Saccharomyces cerevisiae S288C: one gene and its partners. Changing the gene in region 1 together with any one later gene gives a genetic interaction. Each region holds a gene or a part of one and is shown on either strand. Other genes may lie near its edges. The genes, in order: ECM19, CRS1 and HSP32.

What was found.
Region 2: mutations in ECM19 (region 1) and CRS1 together harm fitness more than expected from each alone (negative genetic interaction), as found in Saccharomyces cerevisiae (one large-scale study listed by BioGRID).
Region 3: mutations in ECM19 (region 1) and HSP32 together harm fitness more than expected from each alone (negative genetic interaction), as found in Saccharomyces cerevisiae (one large-scale study listed by BioGRID).

Annotation. Positions count from the first base shown.
Region 1 is NC_001144.5:901,297-908,928, reverse strand, and holds ECM19 (Ecm19p), read right to left. Parts: upstream 5,864-7,632; coding exon 5,525-5,863; downstream 1-5,524. Other genes in the region: SUMO ligase CST9, read right to left, coding at 1-979; ATP10 (Atp10p), read right to left, coding at 1,011-1,850; ART10 (Art10p), read left to right, coding at 2,624-4,180; CCW14 (Ccw14p), read right to left, coding at 4,489-5,205; STE23 (metalloendopeptidase), read left to right, coding at 6,269-7,632. UniProt on the Saccharomyces cerevisiae protein: May be involved in cell wall organization and biogenesis.
Region 2 is NC_001146.8:180,050-186,585, reverse strand, and holds CRS1 (cysteine--tRNA ligase), read right to left. Parts: upstream 3,712-6,536; coding exon 1,408-3,711; downstream 1-1,407. Other genes in the region: U2-type spliceosomal complex subunit CWC25, read left to right, coding at 1-240; VPS75 (Vps75p), read right to left, coding at 237-999, 1,095-1,126; DNA-directed RNA polymerase I subunit RPA49, read left to right, coding at 3,978-5,225; MPA43 (Mpa43p), read left to right, coding at 5,564-6,536.
Region 3 is NC_001148.4:5,145-16,908, forward strand, and holds HSP32 (glutathione-independent methylglyoxalase family protein), read left to right. Parts: upstream 1-6,742; coding exon 6,743-7,456; downstream 7,457-11,764. Other genes in the region: YRF1-7 (Y' element ATP-dependent helicase protein 1 copy 7), read right to left, coding at 1-696, 845-863; seripauperin PAU22, read right to left, coding at 2,789-3,283; phosphopyruvate hydratase ERR2, read right to left, coding at 4,413-5,726; FEX2 (fluoride transporter), read right to left, coding at 8,084-9,211; YPL278C (uncharacterized protein), read right to left, coding at 9,909-10,211; YPL277C (uncharacterized protein), read right to left, coding at 10,261-11,724. UniProt on the Saccharomyces cerevisiae protein: Catalyzes the conversion of methylglyoxal (MG) to D-lactate in a single glutathione (GSH)-independent step. May play a role in detoxifying endogenously produced glyoxals. Involved in protection against reactive oxygen species (ROS).

The DNA of each region.
Region 1 (7,632 bases):
TGTCAAGATTTGGCAACTTTCCATCGAAGCCTTTTGCAACACGCACAGGAGAGAACGAAAATCTGTTCAGATTGGTTGATTCTGCAATAGTCGAAATATTAGGTAGATTACTATTTGCGTTTGGGTTCATTCCAGGAGGAGGAATGCTATTTCTATTAGGATTATTCAATGTCTCCATAAAGAGAGGCTGGTTTTTATTTACACGACCACTTGTAGAGGGAGTGACAGTTCCATTGTTATTTTTTGAAGAATTTCTCAAAGAAGAGTTTTTTTTCAACTTTTTAATAAAGGATTTGGCTTCGAATTCTTCTAAACTATTATCATCAACTGTCAGATCAACGGTTGGAGGGGGCTGGTAATGATTTTGATGGCTATTTCTTGTTGGTAGCACACCAACTGACATCGAAGAAACATTGTTATGATTCAAAACTGACTCTAATTCCTGTATTCTTTTCTTAAGAATCGCCATAGAATCCAACTCTATTTTGGCCTGATATAGCAGCTGCTGTTGTCTTGCACATTTTTCTCTCAACTTTAAACAATGATTTTGATAGTATTGACACTGTTTCGAAAGCCCATTCAGTTGGAATTGGGAAACATTATATAACGACTCCAAAAGTGGGGGCAGTGGCTCAAAAAAAATCCTAATGTCGGTAGGCAGCTGTTTAGATTCCACAAGGTTAATGATGGAGATATCGCTCGAACGGCATATAGGACACACCTTTGATGTTAATGGAGAATGCTGCGAACAGAGGATATGAGCACATGAGGTCAGCCTCAATGGATCTCCATGCGATGTTCTTCTGTGGCAAACACCACAGTAAACAAAGGGCTGTTCAAAAATAGAATCCGGCATTATATATTTCTTTGGTGATATCAATGATAAACGTCTTACCTGTTTCAAGCACTTTTGTTTTTTCTCTCTCATGCTCTTCGTGTTAGTTTGGGGAATGAACACGATCGCCAAATAGCCGCCCATCCCTTGTTGGCCGCCGCACAAAGCGTCAACTTCACAGACGTTTGGCAAACTTCCACAATGCTTCCTTTTCAGATGGAGTAGCCTCCCCGCAAGCTGCCCACCTAATTTTTAACTGCTGGTCCACAAGAAAGACGTATCCAGAAAAGACATTATTGCAAAAGAGCTCTTCCCTGACGGAAAATGGCCATTGGCCTCTAGAACATTCGAAATAAAATGGCTGGCGCCAGGATGGAACGCGATTGGCCCAACGAGCAAGCGTTTTCACTAGAGCACTTTTCACAGCGTTTTCTACAAGATTGACCTCGATGATTTGGACGTTACTGTCATTTAAACTTAAACGCGCATCAGCTTCAGTCAAGTAGTCAGTTTTTTTGTTATCGTCTACGATTCCTTGGAAGTATGAACTACTCAACTTATCGCCAGATGCTGTACTAAATAACCTCACTATACTGGTTTTACCCCTTAACATATCCTCGATATTCTGTTGTTTCGTACCATCCATTGCCGTTCCTATCAAATGAGGAAAAAACAAAGCTTTATCTTCTTTCCAATATGAAACTGGAGCTATAAACAATTTCCCCTTTGTCTTTTGGAAGACTTGCACGTCATAAAGTCCAGATTTGCTGAATTCAACGGCCAACTCTTTAACTCTGTGGTTTGTCTTTTCCGAATCAAACATATCCCTCAAAGAGTTCCCCTGGGAGTATTTGGTGCTTTTCCTTGGTGCTTGTGTTAAGCCTATTGGCTTGACCAGTTGTTTGATCTGGTATTCCTTTGGGGAAGCCGTTGCCATCATAGGCTTGAGGAATTTATCCAAGAAGGACATCCGCGTAAGCGTGGGATGGTAAAACCTTTTAAAAGTGCCCTGCATAGTTAGTTTAAGTTACTCTGATATCGCAAATAAACAAATAACCTGACTTTTACTATATGCTGAAATAGTCCTTTTTAAATATGCACTCTTCCATATTTTTCTGAAGGCGAATCAAATAAATGGTAATAAAAATTTAAATTTCAAAAACGATTTCTAGGCAAGGATATTGTGCGTAAGGAACAAAACAAACGTTTATAGTAGTTTTTATATAGCTGCATAGTGATGTGGCGAGAACTATTAAATATTTCTTACTTCGAAGTTTTATGTACATCGCCTCTGCCTTGCCTTTACACTTTTTAAATTCTTGATTCTGCTCTAGTACAATCTTCACCACTGTTACAAGATCAGGCGTCTCTTTACTAATACCAAGAAGAGGGTGAGATACATGATATTTTATTAAACTGATATTGCCTTGGGTCGGCTGTAATGCAATTAGTCAGGTGGAATCTAATATCACCTAGGGCCTTGGTGAAAATTCTCAGCAAAATGCGGGTTGAGGGTGAGAGAGGGTCCTGGGGAAGGTGCACGCCCTTTTCACAAGAGGTGCGTAAGAGAGAAACAAGCCTTCGACTCTACAGCCCTTCTAACACCGCCACTCAATCAATTAAAAGCAGTCGCACCCATCCAAAAGTAGAATTACATAAACTAGAGGAGAAAAAGCAGCCAGTACAAAGGAGAATTACTTCATTGACCAACGGATATTCTGTGAGTGTTTATATTTAAGATTCTGCTTTTGATTAGAGAAGGTTGAGAACCATACAGTTTGTCAAACCATGGCTCCAAAAATTTCAATATCCTTAAACCCACCGTACAACGGGGAGTTTTATAGCTCTAATGATCAAATGTCAGGGATAGTTAGTCTTCAGTTAACAAAAGCGCTATCTATAAGGAAAATTTCCGTCATTCTAAAAGGATTCTCAGAGACCTTAACAAAAATTGATCAAGAGTACATGTTTCAACAGAATGGCATGATGATGCCGGGCCAAGACAACAAATCCTTTCATACATTAATGAAATTCGAACAGAGAGTTTTCCCTCCAGATAATGTATGGAATGCTCTTGATGGCTCCTCCAAGCCGTTCAAAGTTAAACCAGGTTCATATAATTATAGCTTTCAATTTGACAAGTTTCCCAGAAAGCCTGAATGTCTGAAAAATCATACGGCAAAGACAGTAGCGTTTGTGACAAGAAGTAATGCCCGACTCCCACCTACGTTCAATAGTCATTGGCAAGAATTTAATAAAATCGATAATCTGGATTTGTATTTTTACTCTTTTGGAAAAGTTATATATATGGTGCAAGTTCAATTAGAGCTAGGGAAATCTTCATCTTGGTTTAAGCCATTCCATAAACTGATAAGGGAAATCGAGACGTTCGAATTTATACCTGAGCCAAAAGATCTTATTATAGAACCTGATGAAGATGACAATGAAGAACTTAATGCCTTCAGTAACAATAGTAGAGGAAATAGTATGGTCACCAACAATGAATTTTTCAATAGTTCAAATTTAAAGGTGCCATCAAAGGACGTCAAAGTCGTTAATGGAGTCGGATATATAAAAAGTGACAGGAACTTTTCTCAAGCTAATTCTATATTGATAGAAAACGGCGACATTAGATCGAGACCGGTATCATCAGTCACATCAACAAGACAATCTACTCGCCTAGTAAATGGTATGAAAGTTTTCCCATCTACTTATAAAATGGGGTTGCCTGATGGGGAAAGCAATATGAGAATAGAGGTTAGAAGTCGAGATTTGAAGCAAATATACAGGAAAGACTACTTGTTTAGGTCTGGCAGCCAAAATTTTGACAAGGTCTATGTAGTCATGGAGGGGAATATAGCAAGTTTGAGCAAAATGCAAATTACCCCACTTAAACTACAACTGAACTTGCTAGAGACTACAACATATTTATCTCAGGGAATAGCGAACGGCAATTACTCTTCTTTGAAGCTAATCGAGATTGATTTGAATCAGCTCAAATCCAATAAACCTCTTTTGGACTTAAACGAAATACGAGAAAATTTTGATGGTTCTATGTTTGAATGTGAATTACGGTTAAAGGATCACCCCATTTTAAGAAAGTTGGTATTTAATGAAGAAGACTATAGACATCGCGGCAATAGGTTGTATAGTTTCAAGACATGCACGATAAAAAGAACATTCAGTTTACAGCTACTGATAGAATGGGGAATCAATGGAATTAGGAAGCAATCTGAAGTAAACATTGATCCTGTTCAGATCTTTTGTCAAGTTAGAGAGCACGTTGAAGCTGAAGCTCTGCCCAGATATGTACCGCCACCGACATATACTGAAATGGCGAGTTAAGCGTCGCCAAAAATATTCTGCAAACATATATATTCATGCACATGTGTAACAATGTAAAAAACTTTGAAATGAAAAGAACAAGGAGCTGATCGAAAAAATATTTTTTTGATTTTCATTTAATATAGATTTATATACTTTTATTTGCTCTTTAAGAGAAAAGAAGTCGTAGTGAACTGGAACATAACGAAATAAAGAGGAGTTTTAAAATGTTTTTTGAAGAAATAAAATCATCCGCATCATATAAGAAGAGGAAATAAGAAATATAAAAGATAGATACCTTAACCCATTAGAAATAAAGTGATAGATAATTAGATTAACATAGCGGCAACAGCAGCAATGAAAACGGATTTTCCTGCCTCTAGAACATTACCAGAACCTTCAGAGAAAGTAGAAATAACGGCGGTAGAAGTTGGTAGAGCAGAGGAGACTGTTTCTTGGGACACGGTCGAAGAGGCAGCACTGGAAGAGTGAGCCTCGCTAGTGGAGGAAGCTTGCTTGCTCGAAGAGACATAAGTGGAAGAGGATTCTTCACTGGAAGGAGCCTTGGTGGAAGAAGAAGAGGAAGAAGAGGATTCGGTGGAAGAAGCCTTGCTAGAAGATGGGGCAGCGCTGCTGGAAGAAGCTTTAGTAGAGGAGGAAGCGCTACTGGAAGAAGCCTTGGTAGAGGAGGAAGCGCTACTGGAAGAAGCCTTGGTAGAAGAAGAGGCCTTGCTGGATGAAGAAGCGGATGAGGAGGCACTGCTGCTGGAATCGCCCAATGAAGCATTTTGTTCGGAACAAGAACTCTTGAAAGCAGAATAAGCAGCATCAGCGTCATTGTTTGGGCAGATGGAGTCTAGACATTTCTTGACGGCGGAGTTTTCGTGTTCACAGTAACAGGTGACTTGATTCAAAGAGTCACATGTGGAAGAGGATTTGCCGACTTGCGCAACACAGGCCAATAAACAAGCTGGAGGTGTTGCTAAGACTTCCTTCGACAACAATGCCAAAGAAACGACTGAAGATAATAAAGTGGTGGCACGCATGATAATATATAACGAGTGTTGAACGAGTGTAGTAGTGCTGTGAGCTTTGACCCTGTGTGTATTAACAACTGGCGAAATCTATTTATCATCCCTTTGTTTATAAGTTCGAGAGTGTTTATAAACGGTGAAAAATTCGTGAAAAATTAACGGAAAAATTGTAAAAAAGAAATAATGGGTCCTAATGCATGTGGTGCATGGGTCCAATGCTTCTATAAATAGTAATTTTCCGGGTAATAGGTTTTTGTAACGTTATAATGGCTTTACTATTGATGCTATATACAGGAAAAGAAAGTATAGAGGTATTTTCTAGTACGCTTCCTTACTGTTGTGGTGGAGTAGGAGGTGTAGGTGGTGTAGGTGGTGCAGCTGGTGTGGATGATAAAGACGGCGTGACCTTTAACAGATTTCCGTCCTCGTCGTATTCTGGGATGGGAATGTCCGTTCTCAAGTTTCCATCCTTACGCAATCTATCGATAACAATGGGCTCGAAAAATCTCGTGCCCGTGTAGACTCCCACAAGGCATGCGATACCTATAGTGACCATATCTAAAGTGTTCTTTCGCATATTGCACTGGACTTGACGTTTCTTGTGTTTGTTACTTTTGTCAGTTGAATGACTGAATAACACTACAATTGTTGTATTTTTCAGCCAATCCATTTCTTCATCGCGTTTCCCCTAGTTTATGCGGAAAAGATAGAAGAAGCGCACAGGCAAAATATGATGTAATACAATCAATTGTGGCCAAAAATACAAGAGAAGGGGATGACTGTAGCTGTATTGTCTCTATTCTTTTCAAGGGGTTGTTGATGTACCGTTGCTGAAGGGTTCGCTGTACTATTTAACACCCTTTGGGCTTTCTAGCTTATTGTTTAAGCAGCTTTTATTGGTGGCGTACATACTAAATTGTAAAGGCGCGCGCCGGTCTGTTAATGATGTTGAAATTTTCATTTCGAGGACTTCGCCCTTTTCTTCCTGAATGAATCAGAGAAAGTGAAATCAAATAGTAAGTCAGAACCAACCATTCGGAAGACCTCATTCTTGCTCATTTTGATATTGCTCTGTATGGGCGTATCTCTTTTAGCTTCTTCTTCTGCATTTGTAACTAAACCACTCCTCACTCAATTGGTTCACCTCTCACCTATCAGTCTCAATTTCACCGTAAGACGCTTCAAGCCATTCACGTGCTTATCACGCTATTACACAACAAATCCTTATAATATGACATCCAATTTTAAGACATTCAATCTGGACTTTTTAAAGCCGGATTTAGACGAAAGATCGTATCGGTTTATTGAGCTACCTAATAAGCTGAAGGCTCTGTTGATCCAGGACCCAAAAGCAGATAAAGCAGCAGCGTCGCTAGACGTCAATATTGGCGCCTTTGAAGATCCAAAGAACCTACCTGGATTGGCGCATTTCTGCGAGCATCTTTTATTCATGGGCTCTGAGAAATTTCCAGACGAAAACGAATACTCGAGCTATTTAAGCAAGCACGGTGGTTCATCCAATGCCTACACAGCATCGCAAAACACAAATTATTTTTTTGAGGTTAATCACCAACATTTATTTGGTGCGCTAGACAGGTTTTCAGGGTTTTTCTCTTGTCCTCTTTTCAACAAGGACTCTACTGATAAAGAGATCAACGCCGTTAACAGCGAAAACAAAAAGAACTTACAGAATGATATTTGGAGAATTTACCAATTAGACAAGTCTTTGACCAATACAAAACATCCATATCACAAATTTTCTACAGGAAACATCGAAACTTTGGGCACATTGCCAAAGGAAAATGGACTAAATGTTAGAGATGAACTGTTAAAATTCCATAAGAATTTTTACTCCGCTAACCTAATGAAGCTATGTATTCTTGGTAGAGAAGACCTTGATACTCTCTCTGATTGGACTTATGATCTCTTCAAGGATGTAGCCAATAACGGTCGTGAAGTACCCCTTTATGCGGAACCTATTATGCAGCCTGAGCATTTGCAAAAAATAATTCAAGTCCGTCCTGTGAAAGATTTGAAAAAACTAGAAATCTCTTTCACTGTCCCTGATATGGAGGAACATTGGGAGTCCAAGCCACCGAGGATATTAAGTCATTTAATCGGCCATGAAGGGTCCGGTTCATTACTAGCACATTTGAAAAAATTGGGCTGGGCCAATGAGCTATCTGCTGGTGGGCATACTGTGTCCAAAGGAAATGCTTTTTTTGCTGTCGATATAGATTTAACAGACAACGGGTTGACACACTATCGCGATGTTATTGTCTTGATCTTCCAGTATATTGAAATGTTGAAAAACTCACTACCTCAAAAATGGATATTCAATGAACTGCAAGATATCTCTAATGCTACCTTCAAGTTTAAGCAAGCTGGTAGCCCATCTTCCACAGTTTCATCATTGGCAAAATGCTTGGAAAAGGATTA
Region 2 (6,536 bases), on another chromosome or scaffold:
TCATCTATACTAAACCAACCTGCAACACCGCCTGTAAGGGCGGCCACTACTATTTCCGCTTCTGGTGCCGCAACATCCATAAGTTCGCAGAAGAAGAAGTCAAAATTGCTTAAAGATGATCCAATGAGTAAGTTTAAGGTAACTAAACAACAAAGAAGAACTCCAGACTCAACAAAAAAAAGAGCAATGTCGCAACGAGGGAAACCGTTGTCCAAGCCCGCTCCGGACCTAGACTACTAAACTTTCCTTTTCTTAGAGCTTGGTTCCTCGTCGGATAGTGGCAAGTCCACCTCACCGAGACTGCCATCGTCATCCTCGCTGTCGCCATCTGCGCTTAACCCGGATTCTCCTTCTTCGTCTTCCAAGTCCCTCTGGGCCTCAGCATAGTACTTCACACAAAAAGGGTAGATCTCTTCACTGAACAATGACGCCAATGAGTCGCCGTGCGGGAACTCCTTCCCGGGTTTTAGGCCGGTCCATCTGAACCAGCCAAATATGGTTTTCATTCCCTGTCTGTACTTTTTTTTACCCTCTGGACTGCGTTTGTCTTTGATCAAGTCCGGGTTTATCGAGTCGTAACTCTGGGGCCACTCAATTGGAACGGGCTCACTAGTCAGTATCCCGTCTTCTTGGTCATCTTTGCCTTTTTTGATTTGGAACACCTTGGTGACTTGCTGCTCTTTGAAGTCTCCCTCAATTCCATGGAAATGGAATGTTATACTAAAATCTCTAGTGTCGTACATTTCAGACTCCAATGCCAGCCATTCTACTTTGATCTTATCTATAGTGTCAATGTATTTAAAATCTGAAGCCCTTATGTAATTCGCAAAACTAACGTGTTGTGAAAGCACAATTTTCCAGAACTCTGCAATTTCGTCAATATACGCGTCCCTCTTTTCATAAACAGGCTTCATTTTGTTCAATCTGTATAATTCTACCTCACGTTCAATAGCGTCCACTTCTTCTTCGCATTTAGCCAATCCTAAGAATGCTTTTGCACTGACCATCTACCGCACTTGCTAAGTGCATATTGTTAGTATAATGGGTTGCTTTATTTTTCCATTTCATGCCCTGCAGAGCTCAATCCTACATACTGCTCGTTCTCGTTTTCTTGGTCACTCATCATTGGCAGTGTTATGCTTCGAAATGTTTGTCGTCAACATCAAGCGCCTAATCATTAGGATGCTTTTCTTCCCTTTTCTCACAAGCGCAGTGTTTGATTTTTTCAATTTTTTCCGCCTGGAATTTTTTCACATTCCAAAATGAAAAGTACATATATAATACAATTAATTATATTAGTTTTTTCTTTCCTCCTTTCCTTTTTCACTATTTTAACGTAAAAAAAGATGGTATATACATATATACGTACTTTTGAATAGTTGCACACATAACGAAGCCACGAGTATTCTATTTGTCTTCACCAAAGTACTCTTCATGTAGCTTCTTTTGTTGTTCCCATTGCTTCTTCAACTTCTTGGTCATACTCTTGGTGATATCATTACCGTCTTTGTCCTTTGTTGGAAGGCCTTGCTCGTCCCAAGCACTGTACAATGTGACATCCTTGAACATATCTTGTGGTTTAATTTGAGCTTTCTGCTTCCTCTCGTTTTCCTTCTGCTCTCTTAATTTCTGCTGTTCCAATTTCTTTTGTTTCTTTGCTAGTTCGTTGGCATGTTTCTCCTCGTTTAGCTTGACAATTTCCAATTTTTCATCGTTAGTCAAAAATTTGATCAAGGCAGATTGTCCATTCCTATCATCCAAGGCAACATTCAAGTTTAGCAAATCTTCGTTTCTAATTTTATCCGTTAATTGCAAGAATTCCTTGGGTTCGGCTTTCTTGATAGCTAAGGAACGTACATCATCTCTAAATGTGGATAAACACTTAACATATGGCATAACAGTGTCTTCCAATGAGCCTAGGGATCCATCGTTGGAGCCAGCTTGGGCTGCCCAACCCAAATTGTCAGGACGGGATGGAAATCCAATTATTCTTAAGATTTTGGTGATGTAGCTACAGATAGCAATCAAGGGCTCAATTTTTAAAGCAGCACCTGCAGTGGTAATGTATGTGTTTGACTTGGTCACTAATTCGCTCAGTGTCTTCAAAGCAACAGGTGTGGATAAATTATCACAGAACGCCGAATGGACTTTCGATTCACTTTCAACAAAATCAGCCAATAATTCTTTCTCTAAGGGACTAAACTTTTTAGAGATATGACCTGCAGAAGCTGCATCGTTCTTCAATGCTCTAATAGTCTTAAAAAAATTGTTCATGGAGTTTTCAAATGACTTTACTTCATGGATCAAAGATTCCTTGAAATCCAATTGATTGTTCCATTGTACTGAGGCAAAAGCCAATCTTAATTGGCGCGGTGAGAATTTTTTCAAAGCTTCTTGAATGGTAATGAAATTCTTTAAGGATTTAGACATTTTTTGACCCTCAATATGTAAATGGCCCGTATGTAAGAAATAGTTGATCCACTGTTGATTGTCGAAGCGAGCCTCGGATTGAGCCAATTCGTTATCATGGTGAGGAAAGGCCAAATCGATGCCACCTGAATGAATATCGATGTTAGAGCCTAGGATATCACTGGCCATCACAGAACATTCAATATGCCATCCTGGTCTACCCTTACCCCATGGTGATTCCCACTCAGGTTCACCTGCCTTGGAAGCCTTCCATAAAGCAAAATCATTATTCGACTTTTTTCCGTTATCAGCAAAGTTGCTTAAGGACCCTTCACCATCATTAATTAAGTCTAACTGGCCCTTATTCCATGGCTGGCATTTAGCATAGTCATGATTTGGGGATTTGTCAAATTTTAAAGTATCAAAGTACACGGAACCGTCGGAAGTGGCATATGCGTAACCATTATCAATAATTTTTTGAACAAAGTCAATAATTTCTGGAACGTACTCAGAAACACGAGTTGTAACGGTGGGAGGTAGCACGTTTAATGATAACATGTCATCATTGAATTTCTGTTCCCAGTAAGCTGGAAGTTGGCGGAAAATCTCTGGATTGCTAATGGTAGAGCCCAATTCTTTATCCAATAGAGGAACCGTAACGTCCTTGACTTTTTCAAAGGCAACTTCTGCGTCCATGGAATCGCCCTTAGTGATTGATTCAATAGCATTTTGAACTGCGGTGACATGCATAGGGAATTTAGGATTCTCCAATTTTAAAGTTTCAGTATCAGCATTCGATAACCAAGTTTCAAATTCTTCGATAGTTTTGATCTCGCTGCCTTGAATAGTAAAATTTTTGTTGATATATTGGAAAAGTGCGGTTTTGACCTTGTCAACAACAGTGGCGTTGAATTTGGTATCATTTTCTTTGACAAAATTGTCAAATAAATAGTTTTGTCTAGCTCTCAAAATAATTTTATCGTCGATATCAGTAACATTTTGCACAAATTGCACGTCGTAACCAAAATAATCTTGAATAATTCTTCTATTGATATCAATAGAGACATAGTTTCTGGCATGACCCATATGGGAGGCATCGTAAACAGTAGGACCGCAAGAGTACCAAGTGACACCTCTATTGCCAGATTGCGGAATGAATTCAACCTTAGATCTTGTTAAACTGTTGTACAACTTCAACACAGTTTCTTTAGCTTGTGGCGTTGGAACCTTCCATTTGGGCTGCACAATCTTCGGCGTAGACATTATAGTATATCTTCTCAGGGCTTTTATGAAGATATTCATGCATAGAATAAGAACTTGACCGGACACCTAATCACCGACGCCAATTAGCAATACTGTTCTTTTCAATTGATAATGTCTTTTGACTCTTCGCGATGAAAAATGTTTGCGGTCACCCGCGCTGAAAATTTTTTATTGCGATGAGCTGAAATTTTCCATCTCATTTTTAATAGTAAGTATTCTTGCATGAACACTAATGATATTAGGAGGGCTTTTTAAGTTGCTACCACTATTGCAGTCGTTATCAACCTTTTGCACTTTATCTAGTAATGTCCGTGAAAAGGTCTGTTTCTGAAATCGAAATTGAAAGTGTTCAAGATCAACCCTCTGTTGCCGTGGGAAGTTTCTTCAAGGGCTTCCGTGCTCCCAGTGACACTACGTTCGACTTATACAAAAAAAAGAAGTCTGAAAAGGACGAATTCGTATTACACGGTGAAAACGAGAGACTAGAATACGAAGGTTATACTGATTCTTCTTCCCAAGCTTCGAACCAGTATGTTGTGGGCCTATTTAATCCAGAAAAGAAAAGTATTCAACTCTACAAGGCTCCCGTACTTGTTTCCAAAGTTGTATCCAAGTCAAGCAAGAATCTAAGGGGTCCAAAAATAAAAAGTAAGAGTGATACTCGTCCATCTGCTTTGAGAAATGCGTTGGGTGAAGCGTTTGGTACTAAAAAGGCTAAAAAAGCTATTGCAGATCTAGAAAGAAACCGTATTGACTCTGATAAGTTGACTGATTCTGCTATTGACATTGTGGATTCCGTGAGAACTGCATCTAAGGATTTACCAACTCGGGCTCAATTGGATGAAATTACTTCCAACGATAGACCTACTCCATTAGCCAATATCGATGCCACTGATGTAGAACAAATTTACCCAATTGAAAGTATAATACCAAAGAAGGAATTACAGTTTATTCGCGTTTCATCAATTCTGAAAGAAGCGGATAAGGAAAAGAAGTTGGAATTGTTCCCATACCAAAACAATTCCAAGTATGTGGCAAAGAAATTGGACTCTTTGACACAACCTTCACAAATGACCAAATTACAGCTACTATACTACTTATCACTATTACTGGGCGTATACGAAAATAGACGCGTGAATAACAAGACGAAGTTGTTAGAAAGGTTGAACAGTCCTCCTGAAATCTTGGTAGATGGTATCTTAAGCAGATTTACCGTGATAAAGCCTGGACAGTTTGGAAGATCAAAGGATCGCTCCTATTTCATTGACCCACAAAATGAAGATAAAATCTTATGCTACATCTTGGCAATCATAATGCATTTGGATAACTTCATTGTTGAAATCACACCCTTAGCACACGAATTGAACTTGAAACCTTCCAAAGTTGTCAGTTTGTTCAGGGTACTTGGTGCTATTGTCAAAGGTGCCACAGTGGCTCAAGCTGAGGCTTTTGGCATTCCAAAAAGTACTGCAGCTTCTTATAAAATTGCCACTATGAAAGTTCCATTTAAGCTACCTGAAATGACAAGAAGAGGAAGAGGTCCAAGACGTTAGAGTTACCTAGAGGTATATACTGAGCATTTGGTTTGCTCTGGTTTTTTTTTTTGCTAGATGGTTCTATAAAGCAGCAAAATATAAGACGGTCCTCCTGATGAGAGGAAGAGAAAAACAAAAATAACTACATAGATATACGCTATTTTTTCTGAGAAGATACATATGTACAAATAGATATTTTACAATAATTTTAAACTTCGCAATAAATTCAATATTAATTCATAGCGTAGTTCGGCTTTCTAGCACCTTAGTAAGCTGAAATTTAAAAATGTATCAGTTTATTTTTTTCAATAAAGGTAACTTTAAATGAGAAACCAACGTGTTATATAGGTGAAATCATGAATAGCAGTCTGCAAGTTGGCATCGGAATTGATGTAGGTTCATCAAGTGCTAGAATAGGTGTATATAATTACTACAATGATGCGCTGTTAGAAATGGCGCAGGAACCAGTCCCATACTACCAGGATTCTTCAAAGAAGTCATGGAAATTCTGGCAAAAATCAACTGAAATAATTAAAGCCCTTCAAAAGTGTCTTCAGAAACTGAACATTAGAGAATATGAGGTAAAGTCATGTGGTGTTTCTGCAACGTGTTCATTAGCTATTTTCGAAAGGGATCGCACAAGTAACATGCTGATACCGTATCCAAATGAAGATAATGTCATATTTTGGATGGACTCTTCTGCCGTAAACGAATGTCAATGGCTAAATATGCAATGTCCACAACAGCTTTTGGATTATTTGGGAGGAAAATTTGTACCCGAAATGGGCGTCCCCAAATTGAAGTACTTTTTAGATGAATACTCTCATTTACGAGACAAACATTTTCATATCTTTGATCTTCATCAATACATTGCTTATGAACTGAGCCGCTTGTATGAATGGAACATTGAAGGACTTTTGGGAAGAGAAAATCTTAATGGTATAGGCAATGATGGAGAGGTATCTGGCTGGTCATCTTCATTTTACAAAAACATTATAAATTTACCATCTAATGTAAGCATTGGAACCACTAGTCTTGTTGCCAATAAGCACATTTCGACAACTGTAGTTCGCAGTTGTATTGACAGTTATGCAAGTTGGTTCGCAGTTGCTTCTCCTCATTTGGAAACATCATTGTTTATGATAGCCGGGACTTCTAGCTGCTACATGTATGGTACTACCATCTCTGATACTAGAATTCCTGGAGTATGGGGACCTTTTGATACTATACTTGACAACAGGGGTGATTTTTCTGTTTATGCTGCGGGCCAGTCGTGTACTGGTAAATTAATTGAACATTTATTTGAGAGTCATCCATGTGCCAGGAAAA
Region 3 (11,764 bases), on another chromosome or scaffold:
CAGTGAAAGTACGCATCGTAGAGCTGTCGTTCGGCCTGGCACTCGCTATTTCGTAACAACGTTCCAGGACACGGAAACTCAACTCATTATAGTATCCTCTGTTGAGGTAAAAAAGAGAAAGGGTATCGTAATCCTTTCTATTGAATTTCAAAGTATGCACTTGAAACAACGTGTAGACCATCAAGTTGATTTTCTTGGGAATAAGATACTTTGAAGGGATTGGTCCGCCCTGGAAATCTGGTTCGTCTTCAACAAACGTCAGGAACTTTTGTACATTTTTCCCGACCATGACGGAAACGACAATTTTTTCAAAAGACCTTTTCCTATCCATTGCACCAGTTCTGAATTTTACCACTTTGATTAGACCAGACTTTTCGTCTTCGTAGAATGACCGCACTTCCGTGGGGATCGATTCAAATAAAGTTATTGAGGGACAATGTACCAAGTCGTTTTTGTTATTTAGAGCCGACTCAAACTCGTCAAAGTTTGCTTTTTCAAACTTACGCCTATCGGAAACTTTCATTTTATTTTTGTAAGTTTCGAAATTAACAATAGTATGTTGATTGTTATGCTTTTTGACAAGAAATCCATCAATATAAACAAAAGATTGTCCAGTTTCCGTCTTATCATCATCTAAGAATGTAATAATTAAGCTATTGAGAAGATGCAGAATCTGCGCTATGCAGGTGCAAATCTCTAGCAGCAGCAAAGTAAATTCAGTTAGTAAGAAATCTCACTAAGATAAGCGACTGTCTGTCCCCTTCAAGCACAACATAGAAAGCAGAAGGATGTCTCATTCATCGCTTGATTTCCGGCCTGCAAAAATAAAGTAGTCGGTACGTACGTTCGTTTTCAATTTCCATGGTGCACAGTATCTTAACTATCTGCTTAGTCGAGGAGAACCAGGATTCTGTTCGTTGCTCAGCCGCTTCGTGGATATTCTCTTGGATACTTTAAATATGGACCTACGCTTAGCCTGCGCTTAGCCTACAACTTCTTCCGCTCTCGAAAAGACCAATATAATAGAAAGTTATAAATTACATTTCCTTATTAGGTATACGACCTCGCGCTTCGAAGTAGAGGAGCCCTTTTTGGCGTACCTACATATGGCGCGTCAGACAGACAAACTTCCCCCAAAAATGTATTACCCCGCCGAATAAGAAAACAGACCCATTCACCCACGACGTATCAAGTTACTTCCTTGGTGCAATGTCCCACTATAAAAAAATTCCTTGACGCTAGATCGTTGGACTAAAATCTGCGTCACAATCGCCTAAACAGGAAATATTGCCTATTTTCGTACAAGGTTACTTCCTAGATGCTATATGTCCCTACGGCCTTGTCTAACACCATCCAGCATGCAATACAGTGACATATATATGATGAACCTGTCTCTCAACTTACCCTCCATTACCCTACCTCTCCACTCGTTACCCTGTCTCACTCAACCATACCACTCCCAACCACCATCCATCTCTCTACTTACTACTACCATCCACCGCCCATCATAACCGTTACCCTCCAATTACCCATATCCAACTCCACCACCACTTACCCTACTATTACCCTACCATCCATCATCCGCTACTCACCATACTGTTGTTCTACCCACCATGTTGAAACGTTAACAAATGATCGTAAATAATACACATATACTTACCCTACCACCACATGCCGTATCCACCCTCACTTGTATACTGATATGGCATACGCACACGGATGCTACAGTATATATCATCTCAAGTTACCCTACTCTCACATTCCACTCCATGGCCCATCTCTCACTTCATCAGTACTAAATGCACTCACATCATTATTAACGGCACTTGCCTCAGCGGTCTATACCCTGTGCCATTTACGCATAACTCCCACGATTATCCACATTTTAATATCTATATCTCATTCGGCGGCCCCAAATATTGTATAACTGCTCTTAATACATACGTTATACCACTTTTACACCGTATACTAACCACTTAATTTATATACACTTATGTTAATATAACCAAAAAATCACCATCAAAATCACCTAAACATAAAAATATTCCATTCTTCAACAATAATACATAAACATATTGACTTGAAGTACGAGCACTACCATGACGTCATTAACGTAAAAGTTCCTTAATATTCCCATTTGCTTGAACGGATGCCACTTCAGAATATTTCGTACTTACACAGACTTCACATTAGAATATTATGTCATCCCATTGTTGTGACACTCTTTATTCACCGAGCAATAATACGGTAGTGGCTCACACACATGTGGGCGCTATCCCCTCAACTCTATTCCAGTTACAGTTACATAAAAAACTAACCTAACAAAGAAATAATAATATTTATGTCACAAAAATCAGGGTCTCTTGCTATGACTTGCTACTTGTTTTGCCCTGATCTGCAATCTTATTTTTAAAAGTGACGCATATTCTATAAACGACCCCGAGGCGACGCGCCAAAAAATGAAAAAAAGGAAGGACACATTTTTATAGAAAGACAAAAGGCTGCGAAGCCGCACATTTCCAAGTTCAGTATTGCTTATTGGACATACCCTATTAGCTTTATTACCATGCACCCTTTTCCAGAACAGTGACGCAAAAGAGAAGTTTCTATTTTGGGTTTATTGTATTGAGAAAATACTCCACAAACACTGTTATTGATCAAAAATGAGTTGTCATATTAATATACATTTACATATGAGAAATTGTATTTATATCAATAGAATAACATATTTTATTTCATTTTCTTTACTTTTTAATGTCTATGGAATTTCGTTCGTAAAAGCTTCTCTCTATTTTGGAATAGCAGTGTAGATACCGTCCTTAGATAGAGCACTGGAGATAGCCGGTCTCAATCTGGTAGAGTACCATGGGACACCAGTGATGACTCTGGTGACTTGTTCAGCTGGAATACCAGTCAACATGGTGGTGAAGTCACCATAGTTGAAAACAGCTTCAGCAATCTCAACTGGGTAGGTCTCTGTTGGATGAGCTGCTTGAAACAAGTAGTATTGAGCCAAATGAGCTCTGATATCGGAGACGTAAACACCCAATTCGACCAAGTTGACTCTTTCGTCAGATGGAGATAGAGTGGTAGTGGCTGGAGCAGCGGCAACACCGGCAGCGATAGCGGCAACACCAGCAGCGATTGAAGTTAATTTGACCATTGTATTTGTTTTGTTTGTTAGTGCTGATATAAGCTTAACAGGAAAGAAATGAATAAAGACATATTCTCGAAGGCATATAGTTGAAGTATCTCTATTTATACCTATTCCTTCATTGGTCATCACCACTTAAACGATTCGTTAACAGATGCTCCTTTAGCACTTCACATATTCTCCATATCTCATCTTTCCCACAACTTCATGATCACTATGAAGATGTTTTTGTTTTTAAACGAGGCATGCATCTTTATAGATTCTGTATGCGAAGGTATTGTTTTCTGGGGCCTTTGTCTATTCGTATGCGCCGAATGTGAGAATGCCAGTTATAGGGGTGCCGAGGTGCCTTATAAAACCCTTTTCCGTGCCTGTGATACTTCCTTTTTTGGTATAGCAGAATGTCTGAATTTAGTTGCTATAGATCCTCGTTCAGAAGCGTATTGCTAAGCCTATCTCCAGTATACCCTAAACGATCGCCGAGAAAAAATAATACTGTACCCTCCTATTTCCCGGAATTGTACAGAATAGTAGGTATGTGCTGGGAGTCGTATATTGTTAGAGTCTGTAATTTTTACGCGCGCCTAGTGGATTCGTTGATACGATTACGTTATTCTAAACCGTCGCAAAGCAAATTGTGTTGAAGTAATTCAAGACTTTAAATCACTTGTACCAAAATCATTGTTGCGAAAACTTATCCTCAGTATTAGTTTCTTGACCGTAACAGTAGTTGAAAAAAATAAAATCATTTCTATGATCGATACACTTTCATTATTTAACTTCTCTATTATGGTGTAACTTCTTACTTTTGTCAGAAAAAAAGATTTCAAGACACAACAAGAATGGGGTCAAAGGTCTGCTTGTACTATCAGGAAGATTTGATACCAACCGCGTTATAAGGGTTACTAGAAAGTAATAGCTGCTAAAAAATTTAAACCGAAGAGATTAATCAGAAAGCTGAAAAACTGCAGTGTTAGTAGAGTTGTAAGCATTTCTTGATTGGAACAGCCTTCCCCCACACGTCCACCCTTGTTCAGACAGATTCGTAATGATTTTGTGTGTAGGCAATGGAAAACTTTAAAAACGGTTTGATTTCCTACAAGATAAAACATATGAATAAAATAACTTGTGTCAAATGCCCCATTTCCATACTGTAACCCAAATCAACGAAATAAAAAATAAAACCTCATATGATTTACTTTATTTAGTCATAAAAAAACAAAAAAAAAAAAAAAAAAAAAGGAAACAAGACAATCCTTTATAGTTTGTTTCCATCATGAAACCTATGACCAGCATATATACAATCGTCCCCCAGTTCCTCTTCGATACGCAAAAGTTCATTATACTTGGCCAGTCTTTCTGATCTCGACAAAGCGCCCGATTTAATTTGACCACATCTTAAACCAACGACCAAATCAGCGATAAACGGATCTTCGGTTTCACCTGATCTATGCGATATCATTACACCCCATCCAGCATCGAAAGCCTGATTGGCGGCTTCAATAGACTCAGTCAGAGTACCGATCTGGTTGAGTTTCAGCAACAGAGTATTCGCACATTTCTCCTCTATAGCACGGGCGATCCTGGTCTTGTTGGTGCATGTCAGGTCATCTGCAATAATCTGAACATTGACAGTCTTTAGGAAGGCAGACCACGAGGACCAATCATCTTCGGCGTAGGGATCTTCCAGGGAAATGATTGGGTATTTCTTTAGCAATGAATGGTAATATTCTGCTAACTGGGCTGGACTGAGCCAGTGAGATGGGTCAGAGTTCGGTTCCTTGAAATTTAGGTCGTATTTCCCGTCCTTATAAAAAACAGAAGGAGCACTATCGATTCCTACTTTCACTCTACCCTCGTAACCGCATATGTTAATGGCTTCCACAATCATGTCCAAGGCGTCTTCGGCAGTGTCAATATCGGGGGCAACTCCACCCTCGTCACCAACATTTCCAGCGGAAGGTCCATATTGCTCCTTCGCCAATATCTTCAAATGATGGTAAACTTCCGAACCCATCCTCATGGCTTCTGCAAAGCTCTGAGCCCCGACTGGCGCGATCTTGAATTCTTGCATAGCTAAAGAGCCACCGGCGTGGGCTCCACCATTCAAAACATTGAAAAAAGGAACAGGAATAACAAAGGGGTCCTGTCTAGCATCCGCTAACTCGGCTATATACTTGTAGAGAGTAATTCCCTTTTGTGCGGCAGCAGCTCGAGCAACGCACAAGGAAACACCAAGGATAGCATTGGCGCCCAACCTTGACTTGTTAGAAGTTCCGTCTAACGATATCATGAGCTCGTCTATGCCCTTCTGATTGGTTACACATAATTCGGACTTGATTAAAGCAGGCCCTATGATACTATTGACGTTACTGACTGCCTTGGTCACCCCTTTTCCCATCCATTCGGACTTGTTCCCGTCTCTAAGTTCAACAGCTTCGTGAATGCCGGTGGAGGCACCAGATGGGACGATCGCTCTGAAGAGACCATTCTCTGTTGTAATTTCAACCTCAACAGTCGGATTGCCGCGAGAATCATACACCGTTCTAGCATGTACCTTCGTGATGGACATATTTTTATCGTTGAGATTCGATTTTTTCCTCACCTTGTTTTGGTATTTCTATTGCAAGACAAAGTGAAAGAAGAAGAAGTGGTGGTAAAAAATAACTATATATAATGAAAATTGTAACCTGGTGGGAGTGCAAACTGTAAGTGATAACCTGCCAGATCCATGTTTCTATTATATACCTAAGAACCAGCCAAGTTAGGTAAACGAGGAGTCTTTCAATATCTCTTTTCTAGTGAGAATGTTATTTAGGTAAATGAACAAGTTACCACTATACTACTCACCCCCTACACTTTGTTTGTGACCTCTCCCCTTATCCAGTTCATCGAAACTTTTTTTTCAACTTGTGGCGATCTGTGACATTGTCTACTACAAGAACCGATTTTGGTTGATGTCTGTAAAAAAAACAACCTTACCTTTCCAGATCCAACTTTCCAGGAGAGCTGCGTGAGTTTCAAATATTTACCATGTCGGAGAAAGCTCCCAAGTACTTCCTTGTTCTTGTCATTTTTTCCTTATCTCCATCCTTTAAGGAAGGTATTTCCATTATGCGATTCTATAAATCCGAGCATGCGAGTATTTCTTTTCTTGGCGCGGAGTCGCTGATGACGCAATAGGCACATTCACGAACATCCAGGACTGGTAATCTTCTCGTCTTAAAGAAAATCCAACCACCAGTAAGAAACTCTTGGGTAAAATGGGGTATCTGAAATATTGCATAGCTGCAAATGAAGATATTCAGTATCAGCATAGGTATTTTCATGAAGGATAGGTAAAAAGAAAGAAAAGAAAAATATCTTTTTGACTGTTGTTCTTGCAATTATCACAATTAGGGGACTTTAAAACCGATACTTGATATATGAGCACAGTCAAGGGGCCGGTTCTTGAGATTTTAATGGAAAAGAGGAAAGTTGCACATACAGGTCTGCTTTTCTTTGCTTGCTCCAGACAACGATACTTAGAACTAAAACATATTTCTAGAACACTTTTCTCCTTCATTCAAAAAGAAAACTGGCCTTGCAATGACTCCAAAAAGAGCGCTAATATCTCTTACTTCATACCACGGTCCCTTCTATAAAGATGGTGCGAAAACAGGCGTTTTTGTAGTTGAGATTTTGCGGTCGTTCGATACTTTCGAAAAGCATGGTTTCGAAGTGGACTTCGTTTCTGAGACTGGTGGATTTGGCTGGGATGAACATTACTTGCCAAAGAGCTTTATTGGTGGCGAAGATAAGATGAACTTTGAAACGAAAAATTCCGCCTTCAATAAGGCGTTAGCGAGGATCAAGACCGCAAATGAAGTCAACGCCAGCGACTATAAAATATTCTTTGCATCTGCTGGACATGGTGCTCTATTTGACTATCCCAAAGCTAAAAATCTGCAAGATATTGCATCCAAGATATATGCCAATGGGGGTGTGATCGCTGCCATCTGTCATGGACCGCTCCTTTTCGATGGATTAATAGATATCAAAACAACAAGACCATTAATCGAAGGCAAAGCTATAACAGGTTTCCCACTCGAGGGTGAAATCGCCCTGGGAGTTGACGACATCTTGAGGAGCAGAAAATTGACAACGGTTGAACGCGTTGCAAACAAGAATGGAGCCAAGTACTTGGCGCCAATCCATCCCTGGGATGACTACTCTATTACAGATGGAAAGCTAGTTACGGGTGTTAACGCAAATTCTTCCTATTCGACCACAATTAGAGCTATAAACGCATTATATAGCTGAAACAAAAGACAAGGGAATTGTTGAAGGGGAGGCTTCTAATGGCTTTCAGTTTCTGTGAAGAGAAGGCTAACAGCTCAATGGTTCGAAAGGTAAAGAAAACGGCAGGTCGGTAGCACTCGATTTTGCTAGAATGGAAATCATATAGAGAACAATTGAATAGTAGGCCTTGGTTTTTAGTGTTGTACTCATCATGGTCATATGTGACATAGGTAATGTACATATATATATAAAAAAAAAAAAAGCAATGCTGTGAGATCATTCGTTACTTACGAAATACGCAGATTGCAATTTGAAATAAGCTGTGTTTTCTTTTTTTTCCTTTTTTTTTCTTTTTTTTGGCTTGTTATATACAACTTTTTTCTATTTCTGTTCTTTTTAGAAGTAATTAATTGGTACATAGGAAATAAATATGAATTATATTAAATGAAGTAAAAGTAAAAGAAAACGGGGAAATTTATCGTTTTGTAGTAAATAGATGATGGAACGCATTCATAAAATCTCACAAAATATTACAATAAACCGCAGTAGTCGGTAAAAATGTATTATACAACGTCTAAAATCTTGAAAATGAATTAAAAAAAAAAAAAGGTGGGATGATTGTGCAGGAAAAGGTATGAAGAAAAGATCCTAACAAATCGGGTTAGTCAATCCTCTAGTCCAAGCATAGGATCCGAGAGTTATCACCAATAAGCAATATGAAATTCCAATCGAAACAGTATAATAAATAAGCATGTTAATAAATGATAGCTTATACCCTTCATTGATAAACGTGCTAATGGTACTCAAAGTGCCGCAAAATCCGGATATTAACGCAGAAACAATATGGCATGAATTCAACGAGTTCACAATTGGAATATCCGTGGAAAAGTGTTTTTTACCACGTTGCACCATGGTAAATATGCCAATCAATAAAGTGGCGAAAACGTTTGCCAAGAAAGTACCCAATGGAAACTTTTTGTTTGTTTTATTAAACATTTCTGCCAACCAATATCTTAGGAAACCAGCGAAAATTCCAAATAGACATGGTAGTGTCCACTTGCCCCTCGAATAGTTCTCATAATACGCACACAGCACCACAAACAAAATAATTAATGGAAAAGCTAGTGCGTACGCGAGTTTATCCACAACATCAAAAAATTTCTTAAAAAATGGTGCTGGAGTTTTGAATTTAAACTCTAGAATATTTTTTTCCATTTCTTGTGTATCAACATCACCAGCATTTTCCTTTACAGTGTCTGAGGGAGGGGTATATGGCTTCGAAAACGAACTAGATCCATAAGCAACAATAACCTCCTTACCAAGTTGCCTACCGAAAATAAGACTACCCATGGAAACCATAAGATGAACGAGCAAGACAGATAAAAACTCCATTATACCGTAAGCTCTGTTCGGCAGTTTTGTGTGGTTAGCGATATTACCGTTAGTTAAGTTTGTAGAGTGTTCGAACATCTCTAGCAGCATACTAGAAAAGGAAGACAGGGCACCACAGTACCCAGTAGTTACACCTAAAAACAAGACTTGGTGATCTTTCATCCAAGTGTAAGCATTTAAAGATTGCATAATCCCCATTAGCATGCAGGATGAACAATTAGACCAGAGAACGGTCGGAGCAGTAACGAAGGCCGGAGTGTAGGTGGAAAGCGCCGTTATAGCCTGACGTGTTTCAGTACCTAATATGCAGAACGTGGTGAATGTACAAAAAACATGAATATAATGGCTCAACTTGTGATTTGATATGACCGGATTGAAAATCATCAGAGCATTACACGCTCGATTAAATAATTAAATAACTGCAGATTCTTGAGCCACCAGACGCTAAATAATAATGGCGGCAATAAATATAATCCTTTAGTACTTATTTCAGTTGTTTTTTGTTTTATTTTTTCCGTATCTCTTCCGTATCTCTTCCATCATTGCGTCAAAAGTGATTTACACTGCTACATGAATCGCGCCACTTTATGTCAGTGAATCTTTCATACATCGCAACTCCTCACTGACAGTGACTCTAGCAGAGTCACCATCTTTTCGATATACCCATCAAAGTGCACGATTCTCCTCCCCTGTTAGACAATCGTAACGTAATATCGACATGTATTCGTAGCACCGCTGCCAAATAATTTTCAGATCGTTCATTGTACATGAACCAAGCGCTGTTGCTTTACTTTATGATATTGCTGCTGAGCTCCCTTGTCTTTCATACGACGTTTTATCTTGATTTCATATCTTTTTTTTTTGGTAAAATAGAAAATACTCAACAGATATCTGATATGTATATAAACACTAAATAAAGAAAATCTTAAATCTTGCTGGCATGACTGTCGCTGTGTCTCAAATCTCTTAGTAATTCATAGATGTGTATCACCCCAAATCTCAAAAACTTCATAATTATTATTGGATTATCTAGAAATCATACCCTTCATACTGTCCCACAATGGCCTGCTCACATGAGGCGCTAATGATTACGATTAACCATCAAATCATTTATATTGATACACTGTAGTTTACTGTTAATAACCAACCTTTGTCGAGATTCATCAAAGTGGGTTCCAAATCCCTCATTGTGGGAACCTGGTTCAGTCATACCCATTGGAGATGGGCCCCAGGAAGGAGTGTAACAAACTTCATCCCAATTGCATTGCCTCTCACAACGGTAATTTAGTTCAATCCACCCTAGAGATTCAATTAAACCATCGATAGTGGAGCGAGCCGTTTCGACATTCTTTATTAAGTCGCTGGAAGTTGTGTTATCTGTCATAAAAGAGTAGACTTCGGGTATCAATAAATCATTCACTTTATAAATGACATCAACAATTTCTCCGACAACGCTGACAGCAGATGACCAAATCAAAAAGTCTGCATCCGTTTTTAAGGCCTGGTATGGGCTCACATATTGGTAGACAAAAGTTCAATGTGAGTGCTGTTGCATTGATGGCAATTGACTCATTAATATCACCATCGCTGTTCAGTATGTTACTAACAGATTTTAGTAATGGAGCAAATTTAAGGACAAGCTCATCAAATGCTAACTGCCAATCCATACTTTGCGTGGCATCAAATCCGACTTCCAGCGCCTTTTCTAAGTCATCTACCATGTCCAATTGCTTTTCCCATGTCATTCCTTCATCGAGTAATCTTCTGTTGTTAGGATCAGGAGCAATGTACGTCCTGTTTATCCCGCTCACTAGGTACCTATAGTCGATATGGATTCGATGCTCCCCGTTGTCATGCGCTGCACCCGCTCTCAACTGATTGAAGCTTTTAACTGCGTTGAAATTAGAAAAAGCCTTCTCCCAACCATCTTCTCTTTCCAGAATCGCCTTTTGGTCATCTGTTAGCTGATCTTCAACTAGGCTTCCATTTTCATCCAGAGGCCAACCTTCTTCCTTCGATATTACGGTAGGTGCTGGTAAGCCTAGGTACTGGTTAGGCTGGACCATTTCTAACATTGAAACAAGTTCGACGTTATCAGCCGAAAAATCACACAAAACGACCTCAAAGCCAACCTCTACCCTGATAATTCCGTCAAGCCCGAATGGCTTCCCCCATTTGCATATTCTAGCAGCGTAGAGTCGTTCGGCCATTCGTTCGTTTTCACCATCATCTGTAAGGTTCAATTTCTCTTTAATAACATTTGACAACATTAGCTGCGTGTCCATCTCTCCTGAGTCAGTTTTCGCAGCAGAAGCCCCATCAAGATAGAGAAATTTGTTGAGGTCCCGTGCTGCTCTATAAGTAAGCATTTTTTGTGAACCCCGACCTTTTTCGTCTGGTGGTGGTGGTGGTGGTGGTGGCCCTTTTGGATGATCACCGTTGGTGCCATTGCCGAACCTCCCATGCCTTCTTTCCAAAGATTTTCTCCCATAGGATGGTGACCTCAAGCCGAAAGAGTAGCTGAATTCATGGTCCATAGCTAGCCATTCGAAGGTAGTTGGCACTTTTGATCCGGCATGGTACATTAAAGTTCCTTTGGGAATTACAGCGGGAAAATAAGATACTCCGACAGGATGTATATCCGATGGAGACTGTCTTAAAGCAGCCCGAATGGAATTAAAGATAGCCGTACTGTTATCAAAATCAATGTCTCTGACGAACTCATGGTAATTATCCCATCGTATAGAAGGTAAGTCTGTGCTTTTAATTGCAGATTGATTGTGTGGTAGGGCAGTTGATACTATGCCGTAAGATCCAGATAACTTCCAACAGAAACCAAGCAGTACAATGAGTAGTACGCCTATGATGGCTGAGATACCTTGACGATGGAATCGCATTCTCTATCTAAACAGTGGTCAATGGATTCTTCGAGAGCTA